2 linked regions of the Ovis aries genome follow. The protein of the gene in region 1 purifies or fractionates together with the protein of each later gene. This does not show direct contact. Links are inferred from orthologs where the notes say so. Each region holds a gene or a part of one and is shown in the gene's direction. Other genes may lie near its edges.

Evidence for each region.
Region 2: the proteins of PSMB10 (region 1) and PSME1 purify together in Homo sapiens (affinity purification with western blotting; 3 studies listed by BioGRID and IntAct, with this or other methods). This does not show direct contact. The link is inferred for Ovis aries from reciprocal best matches to the Homo sapiens genes PSMB10 and PSME1.

Annotation. Positions count from the first base shown.
Region 1 is NC_056067.1:34,980,019-34,984,450, reverse strand, and holds PSMB10 (proteasome subunit beta type-10), read left to right. Parts: upstream 1-1,504; 5' UTR 1,505-1,573; coding exon 1,574-1,629; intron 1,630-1,865; coding exon 1,866-1,953; intron 1,954-2,044; coding exon 2,045-2,142; intron 2,143-2,253; coding exon 2,254-2,394; intron 2,395-2,669; coding exon 2,670-2,785; intron 2,786-2,895; coding exon 2,896-2,954; intron 2,955-3,583; coding exon 3,584-3,735; intron 3,736-3,860; coding exon 3,861-3,972; 3' UTR 3,973-4,033; downstream 4,034-4,432. UniProt on the Homo sapiens protein: The proteasome is a multicatalytic proteinase complex which is characterized by its ability to cleave peptides with Arg, Phe, Tyr, Leu, and Glu adjacent to the leaving group at neutral or slightly basic pH.
Region 2 is NC_056060.1:20,828,873-20,833,340, reverse strand, and holds PSME1 (proteasome activator complex subunit 1), read left to right. Parts: upstream 1-1,659; 5' UTR 1,660-1,775; coding exon 1,776-1,814; intron 1,815-2,356; coding exon 2,357-2,389; intron 2,390-2,535; coding exon 2,536-2,598; intron 2,599-2,708; coding exon 2,709-2,819; intron 2,820-2,907; coding exon 2,908-2,953; intron 2,954-3,070; coding exon 3,071-3,168; intron 3,169-3,417; coding exon 3,418-3,486; intron 3,487-3,571; coding exon 3,572-3,639; intron 3,640-3,728; coding exon 3,729-3,783; intron 3,784-3,856; coding exon 3,857-3,943; intron 3,944-4,114; coding exon 4,115-4,195; 3' UTR 4,196-4,333; downstream 4,334-4,468. Other genes in the region: EMC9 (ER membrane protein complex subunit 9), read right to left, coding at 4,388-4,468. UniProt on the Homo sapiens protein: Implicated in immunoproteasome assembly and required for efficient antigen processing. The PA28 activator complex enhances the generation of class I binding peptides by altering the cleavage pattern of the proteasome.

The DNA of each region.
Region 1 (4,432 bases):
TTTGCTGTTAAAAGCCCTGACATGTGTGTTGTGGGTTGAAGGAAAGGCACTAGGGTCCTCACACCAGGATGCATTCATCTGCAGCCACAGGCCTGGAGCTTTGTGGAGGAGCTGTGCTAAAGCCTGGGACTGAACTGGGCACCTTGAGATGTGTAGCTTCCCACGAGAAGGGCATGGCAACCTGCTCCAGTATTTTTGCCTGGAGAATACCAGGGGCAGAGGAGCCTGGCGGGCTACAGTCCATAGGGTCACAAAAAGACACACGACTGAAGCGATTTAGCATGCACAAACTGCTGGTTGAGCTGTTTAAGCAGCCCGCCTGTGCCTGCCTCTGCTCTGGGCACTGGGGACTGGAGGCAGCTGCACACATAGCAGTGGAATGGGCATACATGGAGCCAAGGGTACAGGATGTGGAAGATCTGAAATGTTCCTCCTAGCTCCCAAAAGGGCAGGCGAGACCCCGCCTCTGGACAGAGGCTTTTGAGTGCTAGGTGCGTGACAGAGTTTAGAATCTAGGAATGTGACAGCCATTAAATAGGTCACTTCACTAGTGAAGATTTAATTTTTAGGTAATGGAGCTACGTGATCTGAGAGAAAAGTATAGAGAGCAACAAGGTGGTGAGTCTTGTGGGTCAGGAAAGGCTTCCCAGAGGAGGTTTTGTCAATGCAGAGATCAGATGGAATGAATGAGAAGGGTGACTATGAAGACTCATTTGAGCCTAAGAGCTGTGTGCAACTGATATAGGGTTTAACCAAGGAAAGAGTGTGACCAGATTTCCAACCTAGAAAAGAGTCCCCTCTCTGTAGCATGGAGTATAGTCTGGGGTGGAGGGTGAGGGGCAGGAATTGTGGGGAAACCAGTGCTGTGCCCAGCGGGGAAAGGATGCTAGCTGAGACAAGCAGTAATCCAGAGAAAGAACTGGCTAGATAAAGGGTCCTTTGGGAGGTGAAATAAGGCTTGGCCATGGGCAGAGCCCAGCATGCCTACAGGCCACCTGAGGGACAACCATGATGCCCCTTCTGAGAGAGGAAGGATGGCATCTGAAACATGGAAGACAGATCAGCATCGCCTTGGCTGAGAGGACTGAGCCTCACTCAGTGTTTGGGTTCTGGGAAGAAGGCAGAGGCAGCAAACAAGAGGCAGGAGTTGGGAGAAGGACAAAAGGTAGCCATGACTGATGCCGTTGAAGATTGATAATAATAAGAACAGAGACTTGGTCAATGTGATAGCCTTAGGGCACTGAGACTTGAGGTTAGAGATGGGGTCAGGGTAGGCAGAGCTCGGGGCTCAGGCTGGACAATGGCTAAAGAGGAGGGATTTGTCCCTCTGTTCAGTCAGAGGACCCAGGAGCAGCTTGGAGTGCCAGGCAAGGGACATCTCCCCTCTTCCTAAGCTGCGAAAGACCAGAGCTGAAGGTGAAAGTGAAAGAGAAGATGCAGAAAGGGACCAGCATGCTCTGAGGAAAGGTGAAAGCGAAAGGGGGAAACAATAGTGCAGCCCGGCAGAGGACAAGCCTTCCGCCTTCTTTCTTGCCTGCTGATCCCACTCCTCTGACCCCCTGCCTACCTGGAGATGCAGAAGACAGTGCTAGAGCCCCAAAGCGGCTTCTCCTTCGAGAACTGTGAGAGGTGAGGGCGGGAATGGTTGGTTTCCCAGCTGCCTATGCCCTTCAGCGAGGGCTTCCGGGAGTGAGAACCCCGGGATCTTTAAAATTTCTGGGGGCGAGAGTAGGGGAGGGTACGTGTGTTGAACGACTTCGGTTCCCAAGTTTACCCCAGGAGGTGAGGGAAACCGGGACAGAGGTAGGGGCTGTGATGAGGGTCCCATAAGAACTGAAACCTGGGCCTCTCCTCTCCGTTTCCAGAAACGCAGCCTTGCAACGCGCCCTACCGGGGCTCCGGGTCCCTCACGCACGCAAGACCGGGACCACCATTGCAGGCCTTGTGTTCCAAGTAAGCAGGGAGCTGGGATGGTGCGGCCTAGAGGGGCGGCGGGAAATGGGACGTGGGGACTAGGCCAACGGCTCCTCCCCCCTACCCCCAGGACGGGGTCATCTTGGGCGCGGATACGCGGGCCACTAACGATTCGGTCGTCGCGGACAAGATCTGCGAAAAGATCCACTTCATCGCCCCCAAAATCTAGTGAGCATTCCTCCGCCTAACTCTCCCCCTCCAAGAACCGCCCCCTCGTTCCCATCCCGGGTGCCAGCACGTCCTAGCAACGCCCACACGGACCCCTCCTTTCGCCCTCAGCTGCTGTGGGGCTGGAGTAGCCGCGGACGCCGAGATGACCACGCGGATGGCGGCGTCCAACATGGAGCTACACGCGCTGTCCACGGGCCGCGAGGCCCGCGTGGCCACCGTCACCCGCATGCTGCGCCAGACGCTCTTCCGGTGCTGAGGCGGGTCTAAGCTGACCCCGAGGCGGGGCAGCTGCGGGGAGGGCGGGGCTGAGAGGACGCAGGACCGGAGAAAGGACTGGGCTGCGAAGTCCGAGAGCCCGGAAGAGGCGGGCCTAAGAGCAGCTAAGCGGGCGACGGCGGGGAGCGCTGTCAGTTATGGGGAGCTAGACCGCGCGAAGGGGCGGGGTTCGGACGCAGGGGCTGTTTGTGGAGGGGCGGGACCTGGGCTCCGGTGCTTTCCACTGACCGTACCCACTCGGCTAAAAGGTACCAGGGCTATGTGGGAGCGTCGCTGATCGTGGGCGGCGTGGACTTCACAGGACCGCAGCTCTACAGCGTGCACCCCCATGGCTCCTACAGCCGGCTGCCCTTCACGGCCCTGGGTGAGCGCTTCTGCCCGCTCCCCAAGAACCTTGCTATGCTACCTTGACCTCAACGTTTATCCCACGACTGGGCGGCCGCAGTTGATCTCAGATGGCCCTCTTGCTTGCAGGATCCGGCCAGGATGCGGCCATAGCAGTGCTAGAGGACCGGTTCCAGCCGAACATGACGGTGAGTGACAACTGCCCCCCCTACCCCCACCACATTACGCGAGCTTTGATGGGAAGTGCACCCGTGAGCTGGGGAAACGCAGAGGAACCCTGGCCTAGTCGGGGAAGGCTTCTCGGAGGTGACTGAGTGGAGACTGAGGGGCCAGTGGAGTGAGGGTGAGGTGCTATTCTAACAGTGCCAAAGCTTGGACTGCCTCAGAAGTCAAAACTCAAAGTGCCATTTGAACTTGAGGAGAGAGGAACAGCAGGTGGGGTCTGGGGTCTGGATTTTGTTTGGGATGGATAGAAGCAGAAGGCATATGTATGTCACTTTATAAGCAGCTAAGGCCCAGAAAGAAAAGGCAGTGAGGGGGGAATTGGGGGTGGGTGAACAGGCCAGTGGAAGCACAGCCACAAGTGTGACTCAGAAGCTTGTGAAGATGGGGGCAGTGGGAACATGGGGTCACTGTACAGGGGGACACTGAAACCAGGATAGAGGAGCTTGGGGTGGAGATGGGGGTGTAGGGCGAGAGAGTGGGAAGTTTGGGTGTGAGCAAATGAGGCCTGGCTTCAAGATGAATTGTCTCTAGGCTACAGCCTAAGGGTGATCTAGAAGGGTCCATCAGGCCTCACTGACACACATCATTGCAGCTGGAGGCAGCGCAGGAGCTGCTGGTGGAAGCCATCACTGCAGGGATCCTGGGTGACCTGGGCTCTGGGGGCAATGTGGATGCATGTGTGATCACCGCGGCCGGCGCCAAGATGCTGCGAGCCCTGAGCTCTCCCACAAAGCCTATAGAGAGGTAGGAGCACTGGGGGTGGAGGAATCCCAGGGGAGGATGGATTTGGTGGTAGCGGGAAGACAGGGCTATAGAGGACGGGACACTTGATGGGCCCCTTTTGAGGGGTCATCCCTGCTTCTTCCCAGGTCCAGCCAGTACCGCTTTGCCCCTGGGACCACACCTGTCCTGTCCCAGACAGTGGTGCCGCTGACCCTGGAGGTGGTGGAGGAAACTGTGCAGGCCATGGATGTGGAGTGAAGTAGGCTGAGGCTTAGAGCTTGGAACAAGGAGGAATAAACCCAGAAAACACAAACACCTACTTCGGCAGATGACTGTCTTTCTTGGGTGGAGGGGAACAAGCAGCCAGCAGGGCTCTGTGGCTAAGGTGTCCTGCAAAGGCCATTCCTTCCCATGGCTGCAATCTGGCCTGAGGGGCACCATTTACTCACCACCTTAGTCATCTACCCCTCTAGAACCCCAGCCCTGGCAAGCCATTGCAGGCTCAAGGTGGAAAGCCCCCTCTGCATACCATGGAGGCTCCCCCTACCACTCCCATGCCCTCTGGTCCACTGGAGACCATTGTACAACCCAAAGGGCTCTATGTACTGCCCCCACGAAGAGCCTTTACTTGCCTCATCAGTGATCAAGGACAAAGCCCACAGCTCCCAGTCAGATCGCGCCCCCCACCCCCCACCCCGCATTGCCCCACTATGGCTAA
Region 2 (4,468 bases), on another chromosome or scaffold:
TGTATCAGGCACCATTCTACGTATCTATAAATTCTTTATATAAATTCACATATTTAGCCCTCACAACAACACCATGAGTTAGGAGTGTTCCCACTGTACATTTGTGAAAATGGAAGTGCAGAGCTAAGTAAGTTTTTCACAACTAGTAAATATTGGAGCTAGAATTATTAACCCAGGCAGTATGGATCTGTTGTTTGTGCTCTAAAACAGAGATCAGCAAGCAACAGTCCTGTGGCCACTGTTTATATGGCCTGAGAGCTAAGAAATGATTTTACATTTTTTAATGGTTGAAAAAAAAGAATATTTCATAACAGGTGAAAATTACATGAAACTGAAATGCCACTGTCCATATGGCGCCCCACTCCAGTGCTCTTGCCTGGAAAATCCCATGGATGGAGAAGCCTGGTAGGCTGCAGTCCATGGAGTCGCTAAGAGTCAGACACGACTGAATGACTTCACTTTCACTTCTCACTTTCATGCATTGGAGAAGGAAATGGCAACCCACTCCCGTGTTCTTGCCTGGAGAATCCCAGGGATGGGGGAGCCTGGTGGGCTGCCGTCTATGGGGTCGTACAGAGTCGGACACCACTGAAGCAACTTAGCAGCAGCAGTCCATAAATAAAATTTTAGGGTAACTAGCCACACTCATTTATTTAACTGTATAGCTGGTTTCCTGCTACAATGGCAGAGTTGAGTAGTTGCTGCAGGTACTACAAAGCCTAAAATATTTACTATATGGTCTTTGACAGAAAAAGTTTGCCAACTCCTGCTCTAAACCACACTATCCTCAAAAAAGAAACTAACTTCATAGAGATAGTGCTGTGAAGGTACTAAAACAGGCTGCTTTCTAATAGACTTGGAGGGAGTTATAAGCAGAGTTCTTTCTGAAGAAGTGATATCTAAGCTGAGAACAGAATGACATCCTGAGGCAGGGTAGGTTGTGTCAGGCAAAGGGATTAGCAAGAGCAAAGGCCTTGAGGCAGGAATGAACAACGCTGGCAGGTCTGAGAAACAACTGGAAAGTCCAGGTATTTATAACTGAAAAGAGGGAGAAAACAGTGGAAAGCAAAGTTGAAGGGGAACAGGTGCCAGATAGGCCTTTTGGACCAGGAAAGTCCTTTGGATTCTAAGGTCAACAGGAAGTTGAGAACGTTTTAAGCAAGAGCAAGGTGGAATCCTGCTGCTGCGTGGTGAGTGGGTTACAGAGGAATGGAGTCCACAAGGGTCTTAAGAGAGCTGACCAGGTCCTGTGATGGGATGATGCCAGAGTCTGAACGTCACTGCGTGGGCCAGACGATGCCCGTGGAGCTAGGGGTCCACGCTGGCAGGGCAAAGGAAGGGAAGCCAAGTCTTGCTTCACCACCCAGAAGAGAGGCAGATAAGGCTAATCACTGTCCCAGGCGGCGCTGGGAAGAGAGCCCGAGGTCTGGGGCAGGGGGCGGGAGGGGCGGGGAATCCTGAGGCGGGCCCCGGCCTCGTGGCCGGGGAGGCGGGGCGTCGATGGGAGGGTGGGGCAGGTGGGCGGGGAATCGAAAGACCGACAGTGATGGGGATGCGGGGTGGCGGAAAGGCGCCTCTCCGACTCTAGGGGGAGCCCCGGCTGGGCTACCTCCCGGCACTCAGCTCCTCGCCTCTCTCTGGTCTGTCCCCGCCTCCTCTAGTACCTCCACTCCCACTACCCAGGAAGGCCGTGCGGGGAGCGAGCGCTGCTTTCACTTTCCCTTCCCCGTGCCCACTCCTCGCTCCGCGTGCTTCGCCAGGCCCCTACCCCGGCCATGGCCACGCTCAGGGTCCTGCCCGAAGCCCAAGCCAAGGTGAGCGCTGCGGGTTCTAGGAAGGGCCCATCAGGGAGGGGTGCCTCCGAGACACTGAAGGAGTCCGTGACCCGCCCCTCAGCCCCTCGAGTAGGGGTCAGTCATCCGAACACTCATGGGCCCCGTGCCCAGAGCACCTGAGCCCGGAGAGCCCCGCCAGGTCTGCCTGCGGGAGGAGAGGCGAGGCGGCCGAGGTTCAGCGGGGTGAGGTGAAGCGGAGCCCTGGCGTGAAGGGGAAATCTGCTGGCCCGGCGCCCGAGCCCACACACAGACGGGGTTCGGGCTCTGCCCTGCCACCATGGGAGGCCCCGCGTCCATTCCACAGGGCACTCCGACCCTGCCCCAGTCGCAGCAGCTCTCTTACATCCCTCCTCCCACTGCCCACCGAGGGATCTGTTCCCTCTTGAACAGTTCGCCCTTCACTTCCAGGAATGTTATTCCCCAAATCCCACCGCACCCAAGTCAGACCCCATGCAACCCTAAGGGTTCTCGAATAAACTGGCCATAAAGCCAAATTCTGAAGGGCTGCTTGTGTCCCACAGGTGGATGTGTTCCGTGAAGACCTATGTACTAAGGTAAGACCTGCACGGTCATCACCCCACCCCTCCCCAAGCCCACTGCTCAGCCCTCCTTTGCTAGGCAGCGGCAGCCCTTCCTTCACTGCTTAGGAAGGGAATTTGATTCTGACCCCCATCCTCCCTTACCGTTACCCTACACACAGACAGAGAACCTGCTCGGGAGCTATTTTCCCAGGAAGATTTCTGAGTTGGATGCATTTTTAAAGGTACTGGGGCTGGGCAGGGAGTAGAGGCCAAAGGGAGAGCTTCAGGGGCTGTGAGAGTGAGGAGGTGAGAGCTCGCCCCTGCCTCCAGCCCTTCTCCCACCCTGCACCAGGAGCCAGCTCTCAATGAAGCCAACCTGAGCAATCTGAAGGCCCCATTGGACATCCCAGTGCCTGATCCAGTCAAGGAGAAAGAGAAGGAGGAGCGGAGGAAACAGCAGGAGGCAAGATGGGAATTCCTGGGAGGAGGGACCCAACCCGGGGAAAAATCAGCCTCAGGCCTGACTCCCAAGAGCCTCCCTTTCCCTGCAGAAGGAAGACAAGGATGAAAAGAAGAAAGGGGAAGATGAAGACAAAGGTATCACTATGGTGGAAGGGACTTGTGTCTCACTTCCCAGGAGCTCCTCCCTAAGGATGCCTTTTCCTTACCTGGCACAGTCCCAGTCATGTGACTGACCCAGTGCCCACCTCCTAGGTCCTCCATGTGGCCCAGTGAGCTGCAATGAGAAGATTGTGGTCCTCCTGCAGCGTGTAAAGCCTGAGATCAAGGATGTCATTGAGAAGCTCAACCTGGTGAGCCCCCCACTTCCGTCCACACACTTCAGGTCAAACCCTTTGTCTTCCTTTCTCCCTACCAGTTGGGCATGGCACCTGCCAGGTCTTAGCAGGAGAGGGCACAGCAAGTAAAGCCAGAATTCCAGGCCATGGCATTCAGGACAGACCTGACACACTCCCATTCACTGTGAGCAAGGAAACAAAGGACAGGAAGCTGGGAATTGGGTTTGAGACTGATGGGGCTTCTTTGCCATTCCCTCCTCCCAGGTCACCACCTGGCTACAGCTACAAATACCTCGGATTGAGGATGGGAATAATTTTGGAGTGGCTGTCCAGGTGAGAGCACTGCCCCACTCCTCTGCCAACTTTCTCTCTCCAGTCCTTGCTGCTTTCCACTTTCCCTTCTGCTTTCTTTCCCCAGGAGAAGGTGTTTGAGCTGATGACTGCCCTTCACACCAAGCTAGAAGGCTTCCACACTCAAATTTCCAAGTGAGTCATTGCCCATTGCTCTGCCTCTGGCAGAGACTGAGGCCTCTGCTCCCTCCTCCTCCTGCTCCATACCCTTCTACTTCCCACAGGTATTTCTCTGAGCGCGGTGATGCTGTAACTAAAGCAGCCAAGCAGCCCCATGTGGTAGGTGAGGTCTCAGTCTGGGTGCAAGGGAGGAGGGACACTTGAAGTCAGGCCTGATCCAAGTTTCCCGCAGGGTGATTATCGGCAACTGGTGCACGAGCTGGATGAGGCAGAGTACCGGGATATCCGGCTGATGGTCATGGAGATCCGCAATGCTTATGTGAGGAGGCGAGAGTTGGGGGCGGGCTGAGGCAGCTTTCCCAAGCCACCCACTCCCTGACCCTGCAGGCTGGGGTGAAGGGTTACAAAGTGCAACCTCTCCACAAGGCTAGAAATGGGGTACAGAGCCACTGGGAGCTGGTGGCTGACTCTCTCCTCCCTGGCCCCATAGGCTGTGTTATATGACATCATCCTGAAGAACTTCGAGAAGCTCAAGAAGCCCAGGGGAGAAACAAAGGGAATGATCTATTGAGACCCTCTTCTCATTCTGTGATGGCTCCAGCAGAGACCTTCTGACTTTTACAGGGGACTCCAGACTTTCCCCACCTTCTGCCTGTTGGTTTCTCCCTCACCTTTGCCTCCCAGGCACAATAAACATAGTCATACCATTGCCCAACAGCCCAAGTCTCTTTATTGGATCCTGAGCCTCCCCTCTGGCCCTGGCTCAGGTATTTCCATTTGTGGGACCAACCCACTGGGTGATCTGGGCGTTGAGCTGCTGGTTGGTCCAATCCTCTCGGATGTC